2 linked regions of the Arabidopsis thaliana genome follow. The protein of the gene in region 1 interacts with the protein of each later gene in a pairwise test. Each region holds a gene or a part of one and is shown in the gene's direction. Other genes may lie near its edges.

Region 1 (8,164 bases):
ATATTAATGTTATTTCCGAATACAAAATGCACCAACTTCAAGAGCTTTCCGAAAACAGTAACTAACACAATGCAATGTACAAACAGCATACACCACAACACTAACTAGGTCCAAAAATTTTAAAACTTGACAAAACCAACTTCTCTGCAATGTCGACGATGACGAATGCCACAACTACGTTCCAGAAAATGTAGCAGCAGCTGCAAAATATGAAGAAGAGAAAGAGTTGAAGGACTGAGAATTTACAAAGTAACGGATGCAATGCTTCACAAAGAGAAGAGAACTGAGAAGTTGATACTATCCTGGCATGTAGAGACAGAAATGGTGCTGAAAACTTCACGATAATCAGCAGATAAGTAACGGATGCAATGATCTACACGAAGAGGACTAAAGATGCTGATACTATTCTGCTATTTGTAGCCTAGGAGAGAAATCACTACAATGAACAAATCTTCCTTATTGGTACATCCTTTATATGACTCAAAGATATTATAATCATACCATGAGGAGAAGCAAATAAATCCCTAAGGATAACTCATAAAGAGACTATAGTTTTCAAAACAAATGGAAGGAAACAGTGTTTTCATTATGTGATCATAGTCATAAAGTATTAGGAGAAAGAATCGTTTTTTTTCCTTAGACATCCACCTAGTTGGCAATTCTAGAGATTTGCTTTCAGGTGTCAAAGATAATCAGAAGAGAACATTACCATGATATATTGGTAATAAATCAGGCTGTACCAACTTCGACATCATCTGAACCATCAGCTGCCGCTACTAAAGGGCCCTTCAAACCATTTTCATTGTGACCGATAATCTCACGAGCTGCCTTTTCAAGAAAGTCCTTCGCAGCTGACTGAACAGACTGTTTCTCATTTGATTGGTATTTCCTCTTTCTCGCAGATGTTTCAGAATACCTGATCCTCGATTTCTCTCCTTTACTGAGGTCTCTAATGCTTTGCTTTTGGGCTAGATTCATTTAGCAATGACTGTTAGAGAAACAATGATATACAGTAAAAGAGAGAGGTGGAAACAACAAACTGTACAAAAGCTTACTCGATGTAAGATCAGGTAGAGAATGTTCGATGAAACGGGTTGCTGCCTGACGGTTTAAGACAGTGGTCGGGCGCAAAGGTCCTACGGTAAAAAAAAAAAAGAGAAATAGATAAGAGAACATTTAGAGGATAAGATATTGATTAGAGGTAGCCATTCAATGTCTAACAAAATCGAAATGACTACAAAATTTCCTTATCAGATAAACCAAACATCAATTAGACAAGTTAAATATGAAACGATGTGCATGAAAAGAAATACTTTCGAGAAACTAAGTCGAACTAGTCGGCCCATTAGTACCCGGTAGCATATCGACAAAACGATTCTTGCCCGAAAGGCCCACGAGTCATTTCACAAAAACGCAGAGCACAAGTGTTACCAATTGAGTAAGCACTTTCTAAACGGAATATAAAAGCTCGTTGATAAACAAAGATAAGACACTAGCCTCCAAAATTTGAGATAGTAGACAAGAACAAATGGATCTTCCACAATAAGAAAAAACTTCGAAAAACATCGCGAAACATTAACATCAACAATGAGCCACAAATAAATTCAAATCAAATAAGTTGTCTAAATGGAAGTAAATCTTGACAAAACAAAGTTGAAACTATCCACTTTGATTTTAAAGCTATTCAACGGAAAAACAAATACAGAGAAACTAGATCACGAATCAGTCTCCCTAATTTCATTCAATAGACTACGAGAGGAAATCTCCTTTCAATATAAGATGATAGGTAGATGCAATAGTAAGGTGACTAAAAGATAAGTCCAGAACAATGGATTAGGCGCGATTCATTATTAGAAAGCCTTCCAATGGAAATACTACTTCCCTGCATTTAAGATGGGTACATGCAATAAAGAGTCTTTCAACGAAAATCATCATATCTACCAAAAATAAATAAAATCATCACTGAGCATAGAACAAAACAAAGAAAACAATCTAAAGCAGATACATCATCCCAACAAACAGAGGATCAGAAAAGCAAGTCCTCGGAAAATGTACTAATCAACGAAGAGGTTAGCACCTATCTGCCTAATATTAAGACTGGCTAAATAAATTCTAAGCTGAGAGCAAAATCCTTGAACACGGTTGAAATATTATCCCCAACAACTTTATAAGGTAAATGGATGCAGCAATTCTCCAATGAAAAGAGAAAGCCTTCTAATGGAAACACTACTTCCCTGCATTTAAGATGGGTACAAGCAATAAAGAGTCTTTTAAAGAAAATCATCATATCTACGAAAAATAGTATCAACACTAAACATCGAACAAAACAAGGAAAACTATATAAGGCAGATACATAATCCCAACAAACAAAGGATCAGAAACGCAAGTCCTCAAAATGTACTAATCAACAATAAGGTACACAGAGGATATCATTTAACGCTTAAGAAATCGTTAGCACCTATTAGCCTCTAAAATTACGAAAGGCTAAATAAATTCTAAGCTGAGAGCATAATCCTTGAACATGGTTGAAATATTATCCCCCAACAAAGGTAATTGAAAGCAGCAATTCTCCAATGAAAAGAGAAAGCCAAAAAAACTTGCTTAATCCACGAGACAATACAATGGCCAATTCAAACTGAAACAAATGGTTTAAACCAAAAGACACACAGAACCAAACAAGTTTTTGATCTCTCTACAAATCAATCCAGGCACCAGAAAATCAATCTTTACCTTTACTTTGATCAACACACTTCTGAAACTTCTCTCTGTACACGTTTATCCGCTCCTACAAAACCAATACTACCATCAATCAAACAACAAAAGATACCATTTTGATTAAGTTAACAAGATAATAAGAGAACTAAAACATCCAAAGACACATACAATTTCAGATTTTACACGATGATCATCAGGATCAACACCAGTACATCTCAACCTCACTGTAAACACACAAAACAACAAAAAAATTCAAATTTATCACAAACAAACAAACTTCAATCGAAACAGATTCACAAAGAAGAAAGAGTGTTACGTTCGTAAAGAGTAGTGGTGGCTTCAGCTAGCAAGTGCATAGTCTTAGCTCGCTGTAATGGTTGCATTGCAGCGAGAACCTCTGGCTCAGCTAAAGTCAGCATCTGCTCAAGCTGTGGCTTCAGTTCCTTGAGGTACGCAAGTGTTTGATTCACCGCTTCAATCGCTGATTCCGGAACCACTCCTCCAGCTCCTCCGCCGCTACTTCCTCCACCTCCTTCCATCTTCAATCGAATCGAGAATTTGAAAATTGAAAAATCCGGCGTAGATAGACTCAGAGGTAAAGAGATTAGGTTTCCGGTTAGATTCTCTGAGTCGCCGACAAGTGTTGAAATTTTTATCTTTATGGAGATGAAGAGGCGCTAACACAATCGGGAAAGAGTGACGTCAGCATTATCAAATATGGGCCGTTAATAGGCCCAAGACAAGTCAAACATTTAAGGCCCATTAAACTAGTGAATTTATTTTTATGAATTATTAAAAGGTTTCAAACTCAAATGTAGATCAGATCGGTGATTGATCAGATCGGCGGCGATGGATGGTGGCGACGATATGGATTCCCTGTTCGAAGGGATGGAGCTTTTTACACCGGCGTCTCAGTTCTCCGGTGACAGCAAGGTAAGCTCACCGCCTCAATCTGAAGAAACCAAGGCGGCGGAGGCGACACTGATCACGGCTCCTTCTCAACCAGATGTGACGGAGGCGACACTGATCACGGCTACTTCTCAGCCAGATATTACGGAGGCTTTGGACGAGAATCTGTTTTCAGACTTAACGATTGTGACTCCGGTTCAACACCAACCTGAGCCGATGGAGGCAGTTATCACTACTCATCAATCTCCGGCGAAGAATTATGGACGTCAGGTGTCACGGAGGAAGAAGAGAGCGGCTGGATTAAGAATTGGATACGGTAGGCACGAAACCAACAATCTCGACGAAGACGAAGATGATGCCGTTAGTCAACAATCCGATTCCGTTAGTCAAGTATCAGATTCAGTTAGTCAAATATCTGATTCCGTCGCGCAAGTGTTTGATTCCGGTAATCAATCTTTAGACTCTCCTGTTGTTACTGTGGTTGTTGGTAATGGTAGCTCAAGGTTGGAGTTAGTTAAGGCTCAGATCGAAGCGAAGCTAAATCGTTCTCGTGATTTGGCTGCTTCGGTTACTTCTGCTCGTAAGAATGCGATTAGGAAGAAAAGGCAAGCATCTGAGAATCTCAGATTAGCTTCTACGACGCACGAAGAGCTCGAGAAGCAGCTTGAGGAAGCGATCGAGACAGAGGATTTCGATGCGGCTGAGAGGATTAGCGAAAGCCTCGCTGCTAAGGAAAGAGATAGGCTAGCATTGTTGGCATTGCTTCGCCAAGCGGAATCTGATTGCGATGCTATTGAGTCGAAAATGGAAGAGGTTCTTCTTTCTCAGATTGCAGCTGAAGAAGAATCTGCCTGTCTGCTTCGTAGTTTTGGCACGGATGCTGAGAATGATGCTGGATCGATTCTGGAGAAAGCAGAAGCTTTTTATTCAGATGAAATGGAGAAATGGCATTCATGTTCTGAAGATGTTGAGGTTAGAAAAGTCGAATTGGATATAGAATCTGTTGTTGTTGATAACGTTCGGTTGTCGTTGAATGGTATTCTTGAGGGATCTGTTGAACAAGATATGAAAGAGAAGGAGATACTGCAGAAGAAGAAAGAACATTTGGCAAATGAACTTGAGGAGCTGCTTGCTTTGGTGAAGGCAAAGGAGAAGGAGATTGACGAGAACGATTCGCAAATAGAGGCAGTTGAGGAAAGAATTAACAATGTGGTGACTGGCTTCAAGGAATTGCAAACAAGTATGGATAAAATGTTAAACGATGTGCAAGCTGGTCTCACTGAGGTTGACAAGGAAACTGAAGATTTATCAAGGAAGAAGAAAGACGTGGACGAGTTCATGACATCTGAGAAGGAGAGAGGAGCCAAACTTCGTGATCTTGCCCGTGTTTCAGCGGATGAAGCTTGTGAATATGAGGAAGTTATTAAATTGCGGAAAGGTTTGATGTCATATGTGTCTAAAACTAGAGAAGAGAGAGCTAAGCTTGTAAATATCGAAGAGAAGCTTTCTGAGGAAGTACAGAAGCTACAAGAGGAGGTTTCCAGTACCCGAGAGTTACTTAAGGAGCGATCTTCTAAAAAGTCGATCATCCAACAGAACATTACATCTTTCATGGATAAAATTATGTTCATAGAGAAAAGGATGCCGGAGCTTGAAGCAGAGAAGAAAGTGGCTGCATCAACGAGAAATTTTAAAGAAGCTGGAAGAATAGCTGCAGAAGCCAAGTCTTTAAATTTAGAAAAGGATAAGACACAGATGGAAACAGGAAAAGCTAACGCTGAGCTCGAAAAAGCAGAGCATGAGATTGAAGAAACCATCAAGAGGCTACAAGAGATAGAGAAGTTGATTTTGTCGAAAGAAAAAGAATTGGCTATTAGTAGATTCCAGAGGTTGCGGATTGACAGTGGAACTGCAAAAGCTGAGAGATCAGCTGCTCTGGAACTGAGCGACCTTGAAGAAGCTAATCTTCTACTTGAGGAAGCGCAAGAAGCAGAATCCGAGGCAGAGAAGCTTAAACTCACAGGCGGTCTCAAAGAAGAGGAAGAGGAAGAAGAGAAAGCAAAATCTAATGAAGTTTTTGTCTCGATGGAACTCATAGCCACCGTTGGTCTGAAAAAATTACAAGAACTGGTGGAATCTGTTCCATCTTAACTCTGAAACTGCTTCAGGTTCAATCCTAGGGACTACAGGAATGTCCTGAATCATCAAGGAAAAGAACCGAATGGTTGGTTTTGTAAATCTATCAACAACATTAAGCTCCATAACGCAGTCCACGTATATGGTTTTTGTTTGGTTGTTTTTGGGATCCATGTGTTGATCGATTTGGTTGTTCAAAGAAAAGAGAGAAAGCTTATTCTATTCAAAATGTTACGAGGATAGAAACACCAGGAACTTTTTTTTGTTGGAATATACTTTCTTTGTTTCTCTGTTTACTTTAGATCAAACTGTTGATTTGGTAGGTAAACATTGTTGTCTTACTAGTCATTGTAATTTAAAAATTGTAAACTTGGCTCGTTATGGCAATTCTGTTTTGAATTTTTATTTGTATTGGACTTGAGTAGTCTTATGACACCTCTCCGTCGAAATGTCTGGCTCTCGCTGTAAGTAACAAAGTGGGATGTTCTTGGATGCTATGATTTTACATAGAGAAGTTGAAGATGTTGATACCATTGTGGAATTGTAGCCTAGGAAACCACTATAATGAACTTTACTTCATCATCATCTGAACCATTCTTAACTAAGATAACCAACTCTAAATATATGAAAATATTCTTTGTGGGAATAATATATAAAGATACAGTTTATGTAAAATTTTACTTACTCCAAATCACTTCTAAATATGTATTTTCTTATTTATATCACTCTCTAAATCTCTCTATTAAATAGAACGTTAACTCTTTAACCTCAATCTCAAATTTCAATTCTTCTAGTTATAATTTATAAACAACAGCAAAAAAAATTTTGTTCTATTACAAATATATGTTAACACTCATAGTTATTTTAAAAGTTTTTATTTTTGAAACAATATATTCTTTCCAGTTTATAATAAATATCAATTTAGATTTAAATTTTGTTTATTATCATTTTTTGTATATGTAACTTTTTAAATTTATTTATCAAAATTTTATGCTTACGCAATAATTAATTTAAAATTCCACAAATTCTTAAAAGACGACTGAAAATACAAATATTTTATCCTAATTATTATTTTTCCCTATCTCCCGTTTTTAGCTCGTCTTGTGTTCTCTCCTCGAGCCCTAGCTCGCTTCCTGATCAATCGTCACCTTTCTCGATTCATCCAAACCCTAGTTCCGAATCAGAATCCATAGTCTTCGTATCTTTCTACTTTGATCTTTCTCAATCATCAATTCGGCTTCTCTGTTTCGTTGGGTACAAGTTTCCCGAGGAGCAGTTGGATGCTGAAACAATGAGTTCATTCTCGATCACTCGTAAGAAAACACCATTCCAGAAACACAGAGAAGAAGAAGAAGCTAGGAAGAAGGTGAGTTGAAATTTTCAATCGATTCATCGCTATTCCTGGGTAGAATTTGAGAAATTTGTTCATCGGAGATTGATTTGATTGATTAATCGATGGGGTTTTCGATCTTAATCGCAGAAAGCAGAGGATGAAACGGCTCGTTTGTATCAAGAATTCGTGGAATCGTTTCAAGGGGATAATGCAACTACTAAGACTTTTGTTCGAGGTGGGACGATAAATCCTGGTGACAAGCCTAAGGTTGATTCTGAAGGTTAGTCTTTGCAAAGGCTACACAGCTTTTTAACTGTTTGTTTACAATTGCTTCTCTCTTTGTGTGTACTTTGTTCTTTTTGATTGGTGTCAAATGGTTAGAGCAATGCTTTGATTATATTGGGAACGCATTAATAAGTGTATGGACCTTTTTTCTATGCGTTCGCGGATGGCAGGTGAAAAGTCCAAAGATGGGGGTTCGGTTTCAAAGAAGGGGAGTAGGTAAAACTGATTGCTTTTGATTGAATCAATCTCGCTTTGCTATCGTAGATCGAAAGAGCTTGGTCGCTCGTGATTTTGCTGATGAGTTATACACTTTTGATATGTTTGTTACCAGGCTTGAGTAAAATATTATTAATCATGTATTTGTAACTAGCTGAGGTCTTAGGAATGATGTTCTTGGGTATTGCTTGATAAGTTGAAATTCATTCGTGTATTCTTGTTATATAGAAGATTATCGTCCACTTAATCTTTGTAGGTATGTTCCCTCTTTCCTTCCACCACCACTGGCATCCAAGGGTAAAGAACCGGAGAAGAAGGTCAGTAGCATGGATTTTGTCACTGTAATTCTCTTGTTCATTGGGTTTGTTGTTTGAAGCACAATTATTTAGTTGTAAGTTCATTTATTTCATCTTTCTAGAGGGAGGAGGAGAGGCCTAGGGAAAGAGAAAAGGGAAAGACTCGAAATATAGATAATTTCATGGAGGAGTTGAAACGTGAACAAGAAATGAGAGAAAGACGAAACCAGGATCGTGACCGTCAGGGCGATAGCTCGGTTAGTTCATTATACTC
Region 2 (8,063 bases), on another chromosome or scaffold:
CGCAACGCATTGGAACTGTACCGAGAAGAAGCAACATTAAGTATCAAGAAAGCTCTGCTTATTCAAATGATTTTATCAATGTGTAATGTTTAAGTACCTTATGGTGCTTATATTTCTCTCTAACAGCTTGTAAAGCACCTCCTCTTCTGCTCAAATACAAGTCATGTATGATTCCAACACACACTTGTAGATCAGCCGCTTTGTACTTTGTGTACTCTTCTAACATTTGGTTCTGTTTACATATTCACAACCATAAATCATTAGTGTCTCATTCTAAACAATGACCACAGCAGACTAAAACCTGAAAGAGACTGAGACAAATATGCTTACCCAAGGATGTTGTTTCGGACGGATGATGAACCGAGCGAGAAAAACAGCAGAAGCAGCCAACAGAGACGGCACAAACTTCACAGTCTTATAATCTAATATACTCAATTCTGACAAATAGCAACAAAGAGGCTCTAGCTGCAAATGTGGAACTTTGAAATCGTCTTGTGCAACTCTAGTAAACCGTCTACACAAACACCAACACACAAAATCAGAACAATGAAACTAAGACAAACCAATAAGTAATCATCACCAATACACACAAATCTAACCTCATAAAAGTATTAATCGTTGGTCTTCCCAACTCAAACTGAAGAGCAAGAAGTATATCAGCTTCCATCTTCACAACATCTTGTTTCGAAAACGTATTATCCGTAATGTAACAAAAATCATCCACTTTAGGAGGACTTATCTCTTCATACTTCCTACAACATTTCAATACTTCCATTAGCTTCCATACATAAACAATGACAACAAACACAAGAGAGGAAGAATCATAAAACACTTACGAAGCAATAAGCATAGCAGAAACTCCAACAAGCTGTAGCTTTTGCTTGTTAACAGTCTTTAAAGACAAGAATCTATCAATATGTGAGACAGTGAGATAAAGTGTTTCAGATCCAAGTTTATACTCTTCAGCAACTTCCACTAACCAATCAACCAAAACACCTCTCATACTTGGTGTTACATCTTTCTGAACTTTCTCTATGTAATCTGGTAAAGGTCTCTGCTTTGGCTTCACCTGAATTCACCAAATCCAATTCAGATCCAATTCAAGAACTAAGTAAATGATTCTAAATCCAAAACACAAGATCATTATTACCTCAAGTTGACGAAGATACTCATAGATATCAGCAACATAAGGTCCACACATTTGAGGATCATCAGATCGAGAATCAATGTCAGATTTTGATTCTAGGTCAATAATAGCCACCGGAGCTGACTTAATCTGTTTCGCCGGAGGAGGTTTAAGATTCCTTTTTGGCTTCTGGGTTTCTTTCTTCTGATTGAGATTAGCCAAGAGATTGACATTGGAGACGTTTAGAAGCTCACCGAGAACAACTCTCTTCTTGTTGACCCGATCTCCGTCAATACCCATCGCCGTCGAAGCTTTTCGTTTCGCCGCCGCTCTTGTAACCCTCACGCAGATCTCTTGCTCTGTCATGATTGAGATGAGATTGAAGAGAGAGCGAGAGAGTGATGGGAAGAGAGAGTTTGAGATTTGAGAGGATTGAGAGATCGGATGAGTGGAAGAAGAGAAGGTGAGAAGGGGAAGAAAAAGGGAAGAGCAAAAGCGCCATTTTTTCTGATTGTGGCGCTCTCTGTGATTTTTTTGGAGTTTGAGTTTTTTGGGAGTCAACTAAAAAATTTTGGAGGTGCGAAAATTCTCTGAAATTTGTTTGGGCGGGTGATTTATGTTTTTTTGTTTTCAGATTTTGCCTGAAAATGTTTTTGACCGGTAAAGATTGGGGTTTTGGCCGTGGTGGTTCGATTCAGAAACAAATTTGACATTTGACATTTTTGTCCCTTCGAAGACATCTGTTAAATTTATAATTTAGATTGTAATATTTTGTCTTTGACAAAAAAAAAAAAAAAAAAAAAGATTGTGATATTTTGTACTTTACTAATCTTATATTTTTTAATAAAATATTTAGAATTGTTAAATGTACAATTTTCTTTAAACAAGATCATGACTTTTTAAAACTAACTAGTTTTTTAGGGTTTTTTTAAATAAAATTTTGATCCTTTTTTATTTTTTTTTATAGTGATTATTTTATAATTTTGAGAATTTTATGTTGTTTAGTATGGTCTAAATTGTGAAAACGATTACAGAAAAAAACAAAGAAGATATAAAGACCAAAATCTATAACTAAATAAACTTACGAAAACTATAATGAAAGCTAAGTGGAAAGCAGCTAGCATAGGTTCGATGAAGAACATCAATGTTGAACCGTGAGGCTCAGACATTTGTATAATTGTCCCATCTCCAACAAAAATTGAATCTTCATTATTGTTACCACGAGCAATTTCTTTATGAGGTCTATCTTCAAAACCTTAAAACAAAAAGACGCTAATAGTTTTTTTGAGAACTAACACAAAAACAAAACCGCTAGAATAGACTTACCTGACAGCAAAAGAGCATCTACGAACATCCAGAAAAGCCGCCTTTGGCCACCAAAGGCCACCATTCTCAAGCATAAAACTAGAAAAATCAGTTCCCACAATATAATATAGACATTCTAGACCAAATCACCGCTTCTATCCAACACTGAAAGCTCACTGGAACATCATGCGGAACAAACCTTTATCCTATCAAAGTGAAGAAACACAACAAACAATCAAAAACAACAAAGACACCTCCTTAGAGCAGAGCCAACCCAAGGCAAATTCAAGGTGAAGAAACGTTGCGAATATACATTCGGTTGAGAAACGATTATGTTTTCTAATTTCTTCTAAGCTCACCAAATATCATAATAGACCTTGATCACCTTTTAACTAGACTCAAAACTAATTTTACTCATCATCCACATGTTCAATTGATCCTCCACCCAATATATTTTTCAAACTTGATTGCCAAATAGTTCTAAAATAAAAAAATCTCTTGACTGCTTTTTTATGATGTAAAATTTGTTGATTGGTAACTAATAATTTACAATGAGAATGTGACAATATACAAAAACAAGACATAACAAAACAGATCAAAGATTTGAGGACAGATCTTGGCAGTGACTAATGTAGGGGTCTCGTCACATACAAAGTTTGAAGCAATCTTTAAGTTTTGGTTTCTCGTAGTAACACAATGACATGATGCGAGAGTGAATGGTTTTCTCGATCATGGCTAGAAGCTGCATATGGGTCCGACATTTCTTGTTGTGAGCTTCCTCTCATTCCACTCTCTCCAAAGATAATACAAAGTCGCTTGAAAAGATAGTCGAATGAGAATGTAGTGGTTATCGTCATTTATGATTATTACCCTATTTAGATTTTGTAAAATAATATTTGGATTACCTAAAGATTAGTTCAGTTGAAAATAATTTGTAAGAAAAAATCAAGTTACCCTACTTATTTTGATTTTATATATATACTATTTTCCACAAAACATTTATATTTAAAACATTTATTGTATTTTATATACTGATATTATCTTCATCTGATATCAATAAAATTAGCTGAAATTTTTATTATTAATTGTATTTTATGTAATTAATTTAAAATAAAACCGTAATTAATTCATAAAAAGATTTGAACGTAAGTTTAAGATTATAACTGAAATATTTATATTGACTATAGTTTTCTCCACCACACAAAGTTTAAATTTCAAATACTTCCTGAATTTTCGGTTATTTAATTATTTATAATAACACCGAACCAAACCAATCAATGTCTAAACTCTAAACTCTAAAGACTTTGTCATTTCGTGAACCGTCGTCATAACTGATCCTTCCAAAGAATCTCCAAAATCCCTAAACTTCGAAAATGGCAGAAACCGCCGAGACAATCAACACCACGATCTCATCGCCGCCACCGGAATCCGAAAGCTCCACCACTATTTCTGCAATGACAGATCCAACATCTCAAGAAGCAGCCTCAAAAGACACAGATCTGACGAAAGAAGCCGAATCAGAGAAGAAACCAGGAGGAATCTCTCTCCGAATCTGGCCACCGACTCAGAAAACTCGCGACGCCGTTCTGAATCGCCTGATCGAGACCTTATCCACCGAATCAATCCTCTCTAAGAGATACGGTACTCTTAAATCTGACGATGCAACCACCGTCGCGAAACTTATCGAAGAAGAGGCTTATGGTGTTGCTTCGAATGCTGTGTCGAGTGATGATGATGGGATTAAGATTCTTGAGCTTTATTCTAAAGAGATTAGTAAGAGGATGCTTGAATCTGTTAAGGCTAGATCTAATGCTAGTGTTGGAAATGGAAGTGTGGAGGATGCTAATACTGATGCTAGTGAGGTTTCTAAAGATGATGCTGGTCCTGCTTCAGAGGAGGAGAAGAGTGAGGCTTGAGAAATTTGGTTTTACTTCCTTATTATAATCTCTTGTCTCTTAGGGTTTTGCTGTTCTTGTAATGATGATGATGACTTGTGGATTTGGTATTATGCATATTTGAAGATGTTTCTTCTTCCTTAATATGAGTGCAAGTGTCTTCATTTTGTTGCTTGGTTTGGCTTTATGGGATTTGATATTTAACAATAATGCATCTTTGTTGGTAAATTGTTTTCCTTTTCTGCTATGTGTGTTTTGGATTGCTTTGATTGATGTGTATTCAACAACCACATCGTTTGATTTGTGTCATTCATTGTGTAATTACGGTTAGTATCATCGGGTTATGTCTTTGTGAATGTTAGAGTGGTGTGTTGAGTTTATTGTTTTGTTCAGTTTCTTTAAGCACATTTGCATCTTTGCTTTGGTGACCATTAGTGTCTCTATGCAGCTTACCATTGAGTTATGTAACGTTTTTTAAATTGGGTTACAATTACGATTAAGCTGAAGTTCTGTTACTTTTCAGTGGTGACAGGAACATGTGAGTTTGTCTTACTTTGGTGTATGCAGCTTTCTATGGCTTATAGGTTGTGTAGTGTTTGGTCGATTGGATTTGGAGTTCTTTAGAACACACCATTAGGATTAGGCTGAAAGTTCTTTGGATTTTTCAGTGATGACATGAACTTGTGGTGAGTCGGAGCACGGATTAAGTATCTTTAGATTTTATAAATCCTCAAGTAACTAGTTTGATGAACCTAATTACATCAGAACATGAAAAACACTGCCTACAAGTTTCTAGTGGTTATGTCATAGCGGTTTCTTTCTGTTTTTACTCTGTTTTTGTATTCCTATTCTATTGGATTAGATTTTGGCCAGTTGAATTTTAAACCAAGTTATGTAATGTGTAGATAGTGTTTGTTCTTATGTTGTTTTACATAGAATTAGAGGATGATTCCAGTCTATTTTCTCCTTCTTCCTTCTTCCTTCCTATGCTCAGGTGGGTATGTTTCGAGTTCATTGACCTCTGTATTCGTTTAATTTAGTAACTGAAACAATTTCACTGATTCTTTGATATTCTCTCTAGTCTTCTCTGGTTAGTGGTTAGGGATTACAGTCAAAATAGAGTTTTAAAGTTCGCAGTTCTTCCATACAGAATCGTCATGAATTTCTTTATCAATTCAAGAATCCAAAAAACAATGACTTAGAAAAACATACATAGTTTATATGTAAGCCAATAACTTATAACTACAGTTACATAGTTTTGTTTTGTGATGTGGAAAGGAGATTAGATAAAATCAAATGTAGGTTTAGAAATCAGAAATTTTTTGGTTTAATACTTTTATTCATAAGTTACAAAAAGCAGGCGGATATGGGAATAACCAGATTGAAAAAATGTGAAATAGAAACTATGCTTATTGGTCAATTGATTGATAAGATCTCAGCCAAACAATTTTTGTCATCCTGGATGACCCCATCATCACAAATGGGAGGCTTGGTCAGTAAAGAGATTGAGATTATATTGTTTGCTAGAAGGGTGATGACCCTTTTTTGGCAGAGCAACTTCATGCCAACAAAAAATTCAGAAGTCTATAATCTGTGTGGTACGCTAAGCGTTGGCTTTTTTTTTTTAAGACAAGTGTAAGCGGAGAGGTGATCAACTGATCATGAAGCTTTGTAGGAAAAGACACGTGAGAAGAAAAACTCCTATATTAGCTTCCACACATGTGCTTCATGTCCCATTCACCAAGTGTACATTCTACTTTTGGGAGTATATTATTTCTTTAGATCCAAAGAAGAAAGATGTACCTTTGTTCTAATTGGATTATTCTTTTTAATTTTCAACGATCTTGTTTTTAGTATTAGGATTAGAAGAGTTAGAGCACCTCCATCAACAATATTTTTTTTTTCTTCACTAGAATGGTAAATTATATTGATGAAATAAGTTCTGAATACAATAGGCGGCAATGCAATCAAACCTTCCAAAGACATAAGCCGGCGAGTACATGTAGACTCCTAGAAACAAAAATCTAATTAAGAAAAATTAAAGAGGAAATAAACTCAAACATACAAATACACGCATCTGAACCAATCTTCTCGGAATCCAAACTCAAAAAATCAAAAATAAAATTACAAAGTCTAAATCACCATAAAAACAAACAGATTCACACTAAGGAAAACAAAACCAACAAAACCAGGACTCTCTTTACCACAAACGGCGGTGAACAAACAAACACCCCGCGACCCAAATGATGATGGTCATAAGAAGAAGAAAGGAGATCGAGATCTTCAAAGGAGAGAAATCTACTTCTGAAGGCGGTGAAAGAACTCGCCTCTGCCGAGGTTCGAACGGCCAGAACTGGTGCTGCACATAAAAGGGACAAAAACAAGCAGCAAAATCCAAAGACGAAAAATTTAGAAATTGTAGATTTAGATCTGAAATTTTAGATCTGAAACCGTTGGAAAAAAAAAAGGTTCAGATCTGTCAGAGAGGAAGGAAAACAAAAACTAAACATGAAGAAACCAAGAAATTTCGGTTCTGGTGCTGAAAAAGTCACTGGGACCGAAACCCTAGCAACAACGGCGGCGACTTTGTTTTATAGAGAGAAGGAGGAGCGTTTGTCCCTCCATCTGCAATATCTAGAAAAGATACTTATTATTAAAATAATATAAAGTGGTGAAAAAGAAGAGAGAGAAGTGAGAATCGTCTCTGTTTTCAGAAACTCTGAGAGACGTTTCTGGCCACGTGTTTTTTCAGGAATGGTTGATTTTCTTTTTTTTCATTAAAATTAATAATTTATCTGAATTCAATTAAAATAAGCAATATTTTATTCATGAGAAACTCTTTTTTGAGAATCTACCAATGTAGATGGCCTTATCATCCTAGGCCCTTGACCACTTAGCTTGATGGTTTTAACCAGCTCAACCGATTATAATTGGAGTCTCCGGTTTAGTTTCATTTGGGTAATATTCTATGTCATTTGGTCATTTGTAAGATGTCTTAAGCTCTATATGAAACAAATTTTGTGTATTTGTATAGTTATGCCATTGGAAAGCAATCCAAAAACCATAATCGAATCTTAAATCAACTCAAAGACATCTTGATCTCTCTTTAAATATTACCTAATTGACTTTTTGTTTGGAAAATCATGTGATCCGAAATCAGATATCGCCATGGAATCTCCAATTTTGGTTTTTAAACCGAGCTTCCTCTATTCATCATCTTCATCGCCCATATAGTCCTCCTTTATCAGCTGCTGAATTCCAACTCCAACACTGATCATTCATCTCCTCCAAAATCAACGAATCTCCTTTTCCATTTTATTTGTTTTCTCCATATGATAACACAAGGGTAGAAGCGTTATTTTACAAAGGAAGAAGTGCCGGTTTTCGTAATCACTTCTGCAATGTTTCGGATCTTATAAGTTTTTAACTTTATGATGCCTTGCATACAATTAACTCAATTATATTTGGTAAATTTGGATGTCTACATAAGAAATATAACAAAAAAAAAAAAACAGAAGACCATCATCGTTCCTTAACAGAAAGAGGTAAATAAATTGTTCAAAATATGATACATTCATAGACAAAGGTATAATTACTCTTGTCATTTACTTAATTATTGGGGAAAGGTTTTGTCATTCTGTGCAAATACATTCTTTTTTTTTTGAACAAAAGTGGGATGTTTAAGAGCAAGATATACTCCAGTGATGGTATTAATTCTTTCAAAGAAATTCAGTTTA

What was found. Proteins that work in one complex are often made in the same cells at the same time.
Region 2: the proteins of AT5G25070 (region 1) and WPP2 interact in a two-hybrid assay, tested with the Arabidopsis thaliana proteins (one large-scale study listed by BioGRID).

What each region holds. Positions count from the first base shown.
Region 1 is NC_003076.8:8,638,872-8,647,035, reverse strand, and holds AT5G25070 (neurofilament light protein), read left to right. Parts: upstream 1-3,519; 5' UTR 3,520-3,564; coding exon 3,565-5,775; 3' UTR 5,776-6,282; downstream 6,283-8,164. Other genes in the region: AT5G25080 (Sas10/Utp3/C1D family), read right to left, coding at 730-968, 1,056-1,136, 2,731-2,785, 2,884-2,939, 3,032-3,254; RRC1 (RNA recognition motif (RRM)-containing protein), read left to right, coding at 7,052-7,126, 7,241-7,373, 7,549-7,594, 7,851-7,911, 8,013-8,147.
Region 2 is NC_003070.9:17,294,465-17,302,527, reverse strand, and holds WPP2 (WPP domain protein 2), read left to right. Parts: upstream 1-3,698; 5' UTR 3,699-3,804; coding exon 3,805-4,347; 3' UTR 4,348-4,697; downstream 4,698-8,063. Other genes in the region: CYCA3;2 (cyclin-dependent protein kinase 3;2), read right to left, coding at 1-15, 98-232, 331-514, 600-752, 837-1,069, 1,151-1,492. UniProt on the Arabidopsis thaliana protein: Regulates the mitotic activity in roots. Plays a role with HSP70-1 in facilitating WIT1 nuclear envelope targeting.